Neurospora crassa OR74A: one gene and its partner. The protein of the gene in region 1 interacts with the protein of each later gene in a pairwise test. Links are inferred from orthologs where the notes say so. Each region holds a gene or a part of one and is shown in the gene's direction. Other genes may lie near its edges.

Region 1 (5,253 bases):
GAGGAAGGGGGAAATAGGAAAAAACACCGAGCGGGAAATGGAGATGGATGGATGGATGGATGGATGGATGGCTACGTGTTGAATGGACTGACTGACTGACTGACTGGGAACGATTAATTATTTTGCAGCAGCGCCCAGCAGCTGGCCGGGCAGGTTAAAATGCAATGGGCATCGGCTCGCTCGCTCCCAATTGCATGCAAATGAACAACAAGTCAAGACAAGCCAAAGGGAAAACCGGGGCCCCGACAATACCAAACGCAGTGGCCTGGATAGACTCGCTTTTTGGGCCATCAGGGCAAGGCAAGCCAAGGCGAATCAGAAACATTGCTTTGGGTGAGGTGTGTGAGGTGGCCATCCATGCCTCTCTCTCTCTCTCTCTCTATGTCAGACCTCATGACGGCAGTACCTAGGCAGGCCGGAAGAACCCAAAGAAGCACTGCAGAAACAACGACATTTGGGTGGGGGGGTTTGGAGGAAAAGGCAAAATGGAGGCACAGACTCCAAGTGCTGCTACTTATCACTTATGCCAAGCAGTTAGTAGCAGCAGACATCGATCCATGTGCGGGTGGTGGCTTGTGAGAGAGGGAAACGGGAAAATACAAGAAGCGAGTGCGAGCGATAGACAGGAATAAAAGGAAAATGCCAAGAGATGCTAGCATTTTGGACCAATGGGAATGGCAGAAAGGGCAGATGGAGAAACAAGGTTACACTCCCACGGCCCATCAATGGACGGCCGACTGGACTGCAACACCTCGCAGGGGCCACAGGGCTTCTTTTTGGGGTTCTTGGGAAAAAGTGACCTCCGCTGTGAGTGACTGGACCCGATCCGTTTGGGGTTCAAGTCGGGTTGGAGGTGATGCATGACTCCACACGGCGCGCACCGCTGCACGGCTGACTAACCGGGCGACCATGGGAAGAATAGGAGATGTCGATTCAACTTTAAAACTAGCGAGGTAATGAAAGTGAACCTTGCCTCATAGATAAGTTGCCCGCAGAGCTAAAGTGTTTTGAATTGTAAACTGCCGGTTTGATGTCAGGTTGACTTTTGGGAATTCACCCGTTGAGCGAGGAAACTGAAGCCGAGACTCAAAAAGAGGACAACACAGTACGAACCAGACGAGGGTCCCCCGTGCTCGCCGTGCTAGCGCAATGAACAAGATGCGATAAGAAGCGGAAGACACACGGGCCACCTCCAAGATCTCAGACCCCTTGTCAGGTACGAGCGCTCGTACCGGTACGTACCGTGATTCCAGATTCTCTGGATGGATGCTGCGCGACATTTGGAGCCGCGCTTGTGCGACCCACTTGGCTAGCGACACAATAACCGCGACGAAACTGAACTGAACTCTGCAGTGCAGTGGCCATTCCAAATTTCAGTTGCCGGTACGTCACACTCGTCAATGCGGCTGGTTTCGGCTGGTCAGCCACACGAACGTACCTTTGGAGTGAAAATGATGTCGTCGCGGCTACGATTTCCATTGTTGGAAGAACTTGAATTCATAGTGTAGCCTGGGGCCGGGGAAAGGCACACTCTGCTTGCAGTGGTAATACGTACCTAGGTATGAAATTACAGCACCAGATTGCGATTCCGAATTACGCTCTTTCTGCGTGCGTACTGCAGCCGGTGTGTTGATAGGCCCTGGCCGCATTATCTTGGTGTAACGTCGAATGACAAGATCTCAAGACACCCACTCACGCTCAGTACATAGGTAGGTATGTAACGCAACCACCAACCCGGCAAACACAAAGCACACGGCCGCCAAGATGCCATCAAGTGACTGACTGACAAAGAGGAAATCGACATGAGCTCACTTGGCATAGTCGACGAGAATGTCGGAAACAAGCTCATCTCATGCTGATCTCTTCCCTTGGAGACCATCGGACCAGCGGCCACAATCCATGTGCATGTTGGTATTCCGGAATACGAAACGCGAAACAGACGACGAAAACGGGGCCAAATGAAACCCCAAGCCGCGCACGGTACGGTAATGCACTGTAAATACTAGCATGAATACTGTGTACTCCCCGTGTCTTGGATCGCCGCTAATGCAGTGCTGGCTTACATAGTAGGTCGTTAAAGCCGCCGGGATCCGCCGCTGACAATTCTTTTCGTTCGGCAGGCAACTTGAAGGGAAGGAAGCCCCTCGTTGCATTTCTTTGAACTTTATGCCGGATGACCGAATCTGTATCAAAGAGAATCCACGGCTCCATCCACGGCTTTCTTTGAGCGCCGCATACATTATCCCCCATTATTCGCCATCACCATCATCATCACCATCAACCAAACAGTCCAACTCGTTCAACTCTGATTGACAAACGCCGATAACAAAGATACAAAACGACCGCGACACATCATAACGGCCTCAACACAATGGACGGCACTCTCGAAATCCTCGATGTCAAGGAACGCAAAGTGGGCGAGGTCAAGCCTCCCGCGTTCCCAACGCCGCCGCCTGCTTCCTCCGGAGGCTTTCCCGCTCCCAAGAAACGAGTGTCTGCCTTCAAAAAGCAGCGACAGCAACAAGCAGACCCATCGTCCTCGTCATCCCAAGCGACCACACCAGTACCATCACCAGCCATCCAGTTCACCAGCGGCGCGAGGCCCCAGATCGACGCGGACCCTATCAAATCCGAAAAGCAGAGGATTGACGAGGAGAACAACAAGCTCCTGAGCTCCATGTCGCCAGAAGAGATTGCCGAAGCCCAACGAGAGCTCTTCAGTGGCCTTGACCCCAAGCTTATCCAGATGCTTCTCCGACGAGCCAACGTCGAGGACGGCTCCAACAACAACGACCCCAAAGTCTGGGACATTCCCGAGAAACCGGCCGACGAGGAGCCAACGGAAAAGAGGGCCGACGTCGGCAGCGGTCCCACCATCTCCTACAAGAAGCCACCCTCCATCCAGACCTCGAGCTCGAAAAACGCATACGTACAAGACGAAGATGAGGAAATGACCGAAGACCAACCCAAGAAACCCAAAAAGACCGTCACCTTCAACGAAGACCTCGCCCCCGAACAGCCTCCCTCCGGCAGCTTCCCCATCCGATCCAAACAGCCACCCACGCCCTACCCCCAAAAGACCAGCTTCTCCGCCGAAGACCTTGCCATGCCCACCGCCGGCGGCTCCTCCTCCGAACCCCAAACTCCCACCACAACGCACCAATGCAACGACCCCTCCCACAACCACGGCGACGACGAAGAGCTCAAAGGCGTACACTTCCCCGCCGCCCCCGCCCCTCCCGACCTCGACCCTTCAGACCCCGACTTCCTCGCCACCCTGCACCAAAAGTTCTTCCCTTCGCTTCCCGCCGACCCCTCCAAGCTCGCCTGGATGGCGCCCATCCCCACCGAAGACTCGCCCGCCGACCAGGAATCCCCTTACTACCCGGGCCAGACCTCGCTGCCCGTCTCGGCGCTCCGCTTCGACTTCAAGGGGCGACTCATCCCGCCCCGTCTGTCGCGCCAGATTCCCGTGTCCAAGGGCCTGCATCACCACGGCGAGGCGCCCGAGGCAGCCGGGTACACGATCCCCGAGCTGGCGAGGCTGGCGAGGAGTAGTGTGAATAGTCAGAGGTGCATTGCGTTTAGGACGCTGGGGAGGATGCTGTATCGTCTGGGAAAGGGGGAGTGGGGAACGGGTGCGGGCGGTAGGGATGGTGATGAGGATGATTTGGCGTTTGCGCTGTGGAGGTGTTTTCAGGAGGGAAGGGTGTTGGAGAGTATCGGGGAGGCGGCGGATGTGGAGGAGGGGGTGGGCAGTGTGAGTGTGAGGGCGTATGCTATTGAGGCCATGTGGTTGTTTGAGAAGGGTGGGTGGAAGGAGAAGTGGAGAGGTTTGTGAGCGGGGTTGGATGAAAACGAAAAAAAAGAGAATATGGATAAGAGTCGTGGAAAACTTGTGCCTTGTAGTATAGTAGGAAATGGGTATGGGATGGGATGGGACACCGACCGACTGACCGGCTGGCCGGTAAGGGATAGGGTAAAATGGAAATGGATCGATGGGGGCGGATCACTGATTTTTTTTGGTTGGTGTTATTTTCCAGGTTTCATACCCCTCTGGTGGTGTCAAATTGCAATTTTTCATACTCATCAAGTGGCCTAACATTGTACACAAAATAAATTGTCTCCTTTGGTCGGGTCGGTTGCAGCTTACCTCGCCTATGAAGCTCGGGGTCTCTTCCTGCATACCCGCACTTAGTATATCCCATGCAGAAGAACTTCATTTCTTTCACTGTACATTATTCCTACAACACAATTTTCCACCGAATAACTAGTCTATATCACATCGATCCTTAGATTCTAGACATGCTGAATCACGATTTAGGTTCACTTTCCTATTTATATCTTCAGTGGCTACCTACTCCCTAGAAACCCCAACCCTCTAGAAAGGGAGTCCATACTTCAGTTGTTGAGAATTCAGACGGGCTATGATCAACCTGACAGAGGTATCTGATGTATCCGACCAACTCATGATATTTAATTTCTTCCTTCCGTTACTTCACTCTCACTTTCACTCCAAGTACTCTAGACTACTTATTCCTCTTCCTACAGTGTCCTACTTCCGTATGTCACATACTTCAATCATATTTCCACTATACGACCAGGCCAAGCAAGACTTGTTGTACTTGACATTACTATATATGCCTCCTTGCCTAGGAGGGAGTCTAATCATGACAAAGATATCTGTTTCGTATCTCTGATTAGATTGGGTACCTTGGAAGTCACCGAGTTGCAAGTTTGATCTTTGTTGAATCCTGGGGAGTACTGTAGCCTAAGTGATCTCCTTTCTAAGGGAGGCGTTTGCACTCTCACGAACGTTAGGCTAGTTACTTCTTAGGTTAGAGAGAAGATAGGTAGAGAAGACATAAAGGGTCTATGTACTGGAAGGCGCGAAAGAACAGATAGTGAGTTACGTACTGTAAGTAGAGGAATCTTCTAATATCCGCAACGTTTCGTCTCATTTTGTCTCAGTTGATGTCCTTGCATCGGGCCCGGCCCGGGTTGAGGTGGTCCCCGATGGTGGATAAGTGATTAGTACTTGAGACTGGACGAAATAGAGGAACGGAAGATGGGATTGCCGGGCCTCCGGGGATATTTGACATCACATATCAATATCACTGTTACATAAGCATCGAGCCACACCTGTTTTAAGTTTGATCACTTTTCATTTCATTATCACGCTCATCACTTATTACCTCTAACTTTCTACCCAAATCATGCCCATTCTTTCTTCCACTCATACATCGAAACTAG
Region 2 (4,336 bases), on another chromosome or scaffold:
GGCCTGCTGCCCATTGCCGACGCAGAGGAATATTTGTGAAGGGTTGGTAGGGTTACTGGTAGTGATCAAGGGTGTTGAGATTTCGTCGACAGATCTCCAGACACGGCGCACCAGAGACTCCTTCGATGGCTTGTCGCTGAGAACCAAAGACTGAATGCCGGAAACGTAGGTCGTGGGCTTCATCTCAGCGGTCGAGAGCACCATGGCAGAATTGTCGTCGAGGTGGAGAGCGTAGGATGATCCCTTGGGGGAAACGACGATGTTTTCAATAGTTGCTGAAAGGTGAGGCAAGAACTCCCTCTTGCCGGTATCCAACTGCCACAAAACGAGTACGGTTTCGGCACCGCCGGATATCAGATAGTTACCTGTCAAATTGTCAGCACTTTGTCGTCTCCCAGAGACAGTTCACCAGTTCTTACCATCTTCAGACCACTTGACGCTGTGGACGGCCCTGCGGTGCCAATGTAGCTTGCGGGGCTGAATAGGACCCCCCTTGGTCGCGCTGCCGGGTAGTTTCGAGAGAAGGTCACCATAAACGTAGATGGCACCGCGAGCGCAACCGATGACGAGATCAACGAACTGGATTTCTGTGCCACCCTTCTTAGTTGTTTGGAGAGTCGGGCGAATGTCGAGGCAAGTAACCAAATCCGGCACGCCGAAAGAGTGGAACGCGTATTCGAGGTCATCAACCGCCTTGACGGTCTTTCCCTTGGACTTCAAAGTGCCGATGTGTAGCGTCTCCTTCGCGGCAGCAACAATGAGTCTGCCACCAGCAGCGGAACGAAGCAATTGCGGGTTCTCGTCGTATGTGTGGATAAGCTTGCCGGTCTTCTTACGGAGGGCCTTGAGGTCGTAGGCCACGATTTGCGCCGAGGACTTGGTCAACTTCTGGAGAATAAACAGGACATCTTCTTGCTTGTCGCGGATATCAACCGATTCGACGGTCATGTCGAGGACTTTCTTGACGTCAATCGTGAAGGGTGTTTCGGCGCCTTCACCTGTCGCCCAGTTAAGGTGCCAGATGCGGCCATCTGAGCATGCAACCCAGAGGAATTCGGGTGCGCTGGCGGATAGCGCAGACGCAACGATGTGGGGAGAAGAAAGTTCGGCGCCGCTGTCGAGCTTGGTGATGGGAAGGGAGATCCTCCTGACGAGCAGGGAATCCTCGGTGGAATAGACTTGAATTGATGTGTTGTAGGTGATAAGGAGGTATCTAAGTCGCATTAGTAGAGCCCCTGCCTGGGGGACTGGTCTCAAACGAACCGTTCATCCAAGGAAAATATGGGATCGATGTCGAGCATGCGGCCGCCCATAGGATTCGATACCTTCCATGCCGATGTGTTGCGCGTCGTCAAGGTATTCGAAGCATCCGTAAGTTCCAAATCGCCATTGGTCGTTTGCAAGTCTTTGTTCTCGAAAAGGGTGCTTTCTTGGGAGTCGGTAGTATCGTCAACATTGCCATTGGCGGCAGCAGGCTGGGTCTTTGGTTTCGATCGTTGCCTTTTTTGCGAAGCGGTCGTCTCTTCCTTGGGCTCTCTCTTTCTCTTCTTGAGCGAGGCAGTTTCACCATTCGCATCCATCTTGGGCGCCTTCGAGGTCTTGCGAGGAGTGCGTAGCTCCACCATCTTGTCCTTTGAGTATATGACGATGCAAGTCTGGCAAGGAACACACGATTTGTCGTACCGAGCTTCATGTCCGCCTCATCCTCCCAGCAGAAGAAATTTTGGCGGAGTACCCTTCGAAAAGTTAATGTGGGGCAGCTTTCTTATCGGTGATAAGGCTGAAGTGACCAATCAGACCCTAGAAAGTCAAATTTGCTGGGGCCTTCCGACCTCACAGGTAAAGTTGCCGCCTCGCCCTTCAAAGTTCATGCTGAAACTTGCACCGTCACTACGACCAATCTTGCACCACCATCTTGCCAGAAGCCGGTCGCTCATCTGCCGCGAACATCGCCATCCCGCCAAACACTTTTTTGTAGGCTTTCGACTCGCTAACAAAAATGATCATTCCAATCCGATGCTTTTCGTGCGGCAAGGTACGCGACGCGACGCGCCCCGCTTCCTCCGCCATTTACCCGTTAACAAGGTTACTGACTTTGGCACATAGGTGGTGGGTGATCTCTGGGAGAGATACCTGCAGCTGATCGATGGCGAGGAGATCACCGATGGGTATGCGACATCTACAAACGACTTTCGATTTACAAATAACAACAACTGACAGACGATGATTAGTGATGCTCTGGATCAGCTCGGCCTCAAGCGCTACTGCTGCCGTCGCATGGTCATGACCCACGTCGACCTCATCGAGAAGCTTCTCAAGTACGTTCTTGTGGACTCGCCGCGCTGGACCTTGGTGGCTGACTACGCTCTAGGTATACTCCCGATGGTCGCAACGTCAAGAAGATCGAGATGCAGACACGCAATGAGGAACAGGGGATGTAATATGCCCGAGCGGTCGAAGAATTCATCATCAACTATTCGGGAAAGCCGACCACTCTATCGTCCGGGAAGAGAAAACTGCATGATCATTAGGCGTTTGGGAGTATTAAGACAACTGTACCGGGCAGGGTATAGAAGCGGCCCTGGTCTCGCATCCAGGAGGCCGAAAGCAAGAGCTTGATTTGGTTGTGCTTTTCTTTGGGTTAGAACCTGTGGCGTCAAGGTGCATTTGGGACAACTGTTTCTGGTGTAAGTTCTGTTGGCGGTTAGGTCTACCGGAGCAACATGGCCAGACACAACAGGCTACCTTTTCGGTTTGCAACTACAGTTGAGAGGTTGTGGTACCACGGAGAGCCATTGTCTTTAGCCGGAACGTGGTACTTGCTCCGTGTGGCTAGATGTGTCATAACCAACCACATCTGGTTATCTACATTGGCGACTTACAAGCCGTCATGCTCGCCTGCGTGGTTTCCAACTCCTCGGGTTCGGATGTCTTTTGGGAATGGTGGAAAAGTCTACCGCTTCGGCTGGGCTGGACCGATCGAATACGAAGCGACGCTCGGATTGGATGGTCCTTACAATTTGTGGGGGCATCAAGCCAGTGCAAGGGATGATGGCGCTGGTGAACAAGAGACATTCGCAAAAGGTAGCACGGCCTTCTAAATCACACGTCTCAGTTTATAACATGGGTACAGACTGGGGTAGCCTACGCTATTCGCTCAGATGAGTATGCTGAACGTCATATCTTTCAAAAGTATTTCAAATTCAGCGCCCGGTCAACTCTCTCTTTATGAAGAATTATTCATCTGTGTAGCTTCCACATCCGAATTCCTGATAATTGGTTCACCCATGCCCGTGTCCAGTGACTCGAACTGTATGTATGTGGCAGCGAAGTGAGCGTTGGCCCTGTTCCTAGGCCCGGTTTGGACGCCACTCGGTCAGAGATGCTTTTGCGTTGCTCATCGGTAGCAAATATACTTCCGAAAAATGAGCTTTCGGATTGTCACAAACTTGAACGTTGTCTTTACCGATATGGACCTACCCTCCCACCAGCCGTAGACTTGCATCGCCGGTCAGTCTACGACTTACCTGTTCCCTCAACCATTCATGTCCGTACAAGTGATGGCACGTAAGTTCTCATTTCCAAGACGGTGTAGGAAAGAATGAAGTTCATACTCAAGTGATCTTACCATATCTGTGTAGTAGCCACTTTGCTTCAATATCTCTAGTCTCCTTTGGTTCGTCTCCCCATCCAGTCTTCCATATCTTTTAGCTGATCACCGCCGGATCAGTGTCGTTGGGTCTCGAATCCATCCCAGCAAGTGTTCAATATCAACCGGCGCCCCCAAACGTTGGGCAAGTTAAATTGGCGTAGTGGCTTCTTCCTCGTCTTGATGTAGGTGCAGGTAAGATCCAGTTACCTTTGGAAAAGCAAAGCATTATTCCTTCACTGATCAAGATGGGAGACTTCGGCACATCTAATGCTTGCACTCACCATCTCTCAAGCGTCTCTCCGAATTCATCACGATTTCTGGGGGTTGAGCTTTCCGCGCGGAACCATAAGACATTTTTTTTTTGAAGTCTCACAAACGCAGTCCGGAGTGCAAGTGGAGAGTTGTCTGCTTGTGAAATCCGGGGTGATCGCGCAAGGTCTACCAGGAATCGATGAACACCCTCTCTGATAGTGGAGATCTTGGCGCTTCGATGAGCCATGGGTTCCCCTGGTAAAAAGGGTTGGGTTGGGTCACACCGACCGCCAAGCAGCTAATTTGCGGATCCATCACAGGGTGATGAACTCTCTCTTCCAAAAGCCCGAACCGGCCCCTCAAGAATTGCTCCCTGTTCAACAACTTTTCCCGCAACCGTTTGCACGTTATCTGGACCCGAGTGTATGGTTC

The links.
Region 2: the proteins of NCU06859 (region 1) and NCU02605 interact in a two-hybrid assay, tested with the Saccharomyces cerevisiae proteins (2 studies listed by BioGRID). The link is inferred for Neurospora crassa OR74A from reciprocal best matches to the Saccharomyces cerevisiae genes RBA50 and RPB10.

What each region holds. Positions count from the first base shown.
Region 1 is NC_026507.1:529,539-534,791, forward strand, and holds NCU06859 (hypothetical protein), read left to right. Parts: upstream 1-2,135; 5' UTR 2,136-2,371; coding exon 2,372-3,841; 3' UTR 3,842-4,289; downstream 4,290-5,253. UniProt on the Saccharomyces cerevisiae protein: Forms an interface between the RNA polymerase II enzyme and chaperone/scaffolding proteins, suggesting that it is required to connect RNA polymerase II to regulators of protein complex formation.
Region 2 is NC_026501.1:2,875,615-2,879,950, forward strand, and holds NCU02605 (DNA-directed RNA polymerase I/II/III subunit 10), read left to right. Parts: upstream 1-1,902; 5' UTR 1,903-1,999; coding exon 2,000-2,035; intron 2,036-2,106; coding exon 2,107-2,168; intron 2,169-2,231; coding exon 2,232-2,318; intron 2,319-2,371; coding exon 2,372-2,441; 3' UTR 2,442-3,250; downstream 3,251-4,336. Other genes in the region: NCU02604 (hypothetical protein), read right to left, coding at 1-365, 420-1,213, 1,264-1,625. UniProt on the Saccharomyces cerevisiae protein: DNA-dependent RNA polymerases catalyze the transcription of DNA into RNA using the four ribonucleoside triphosphates as substrates.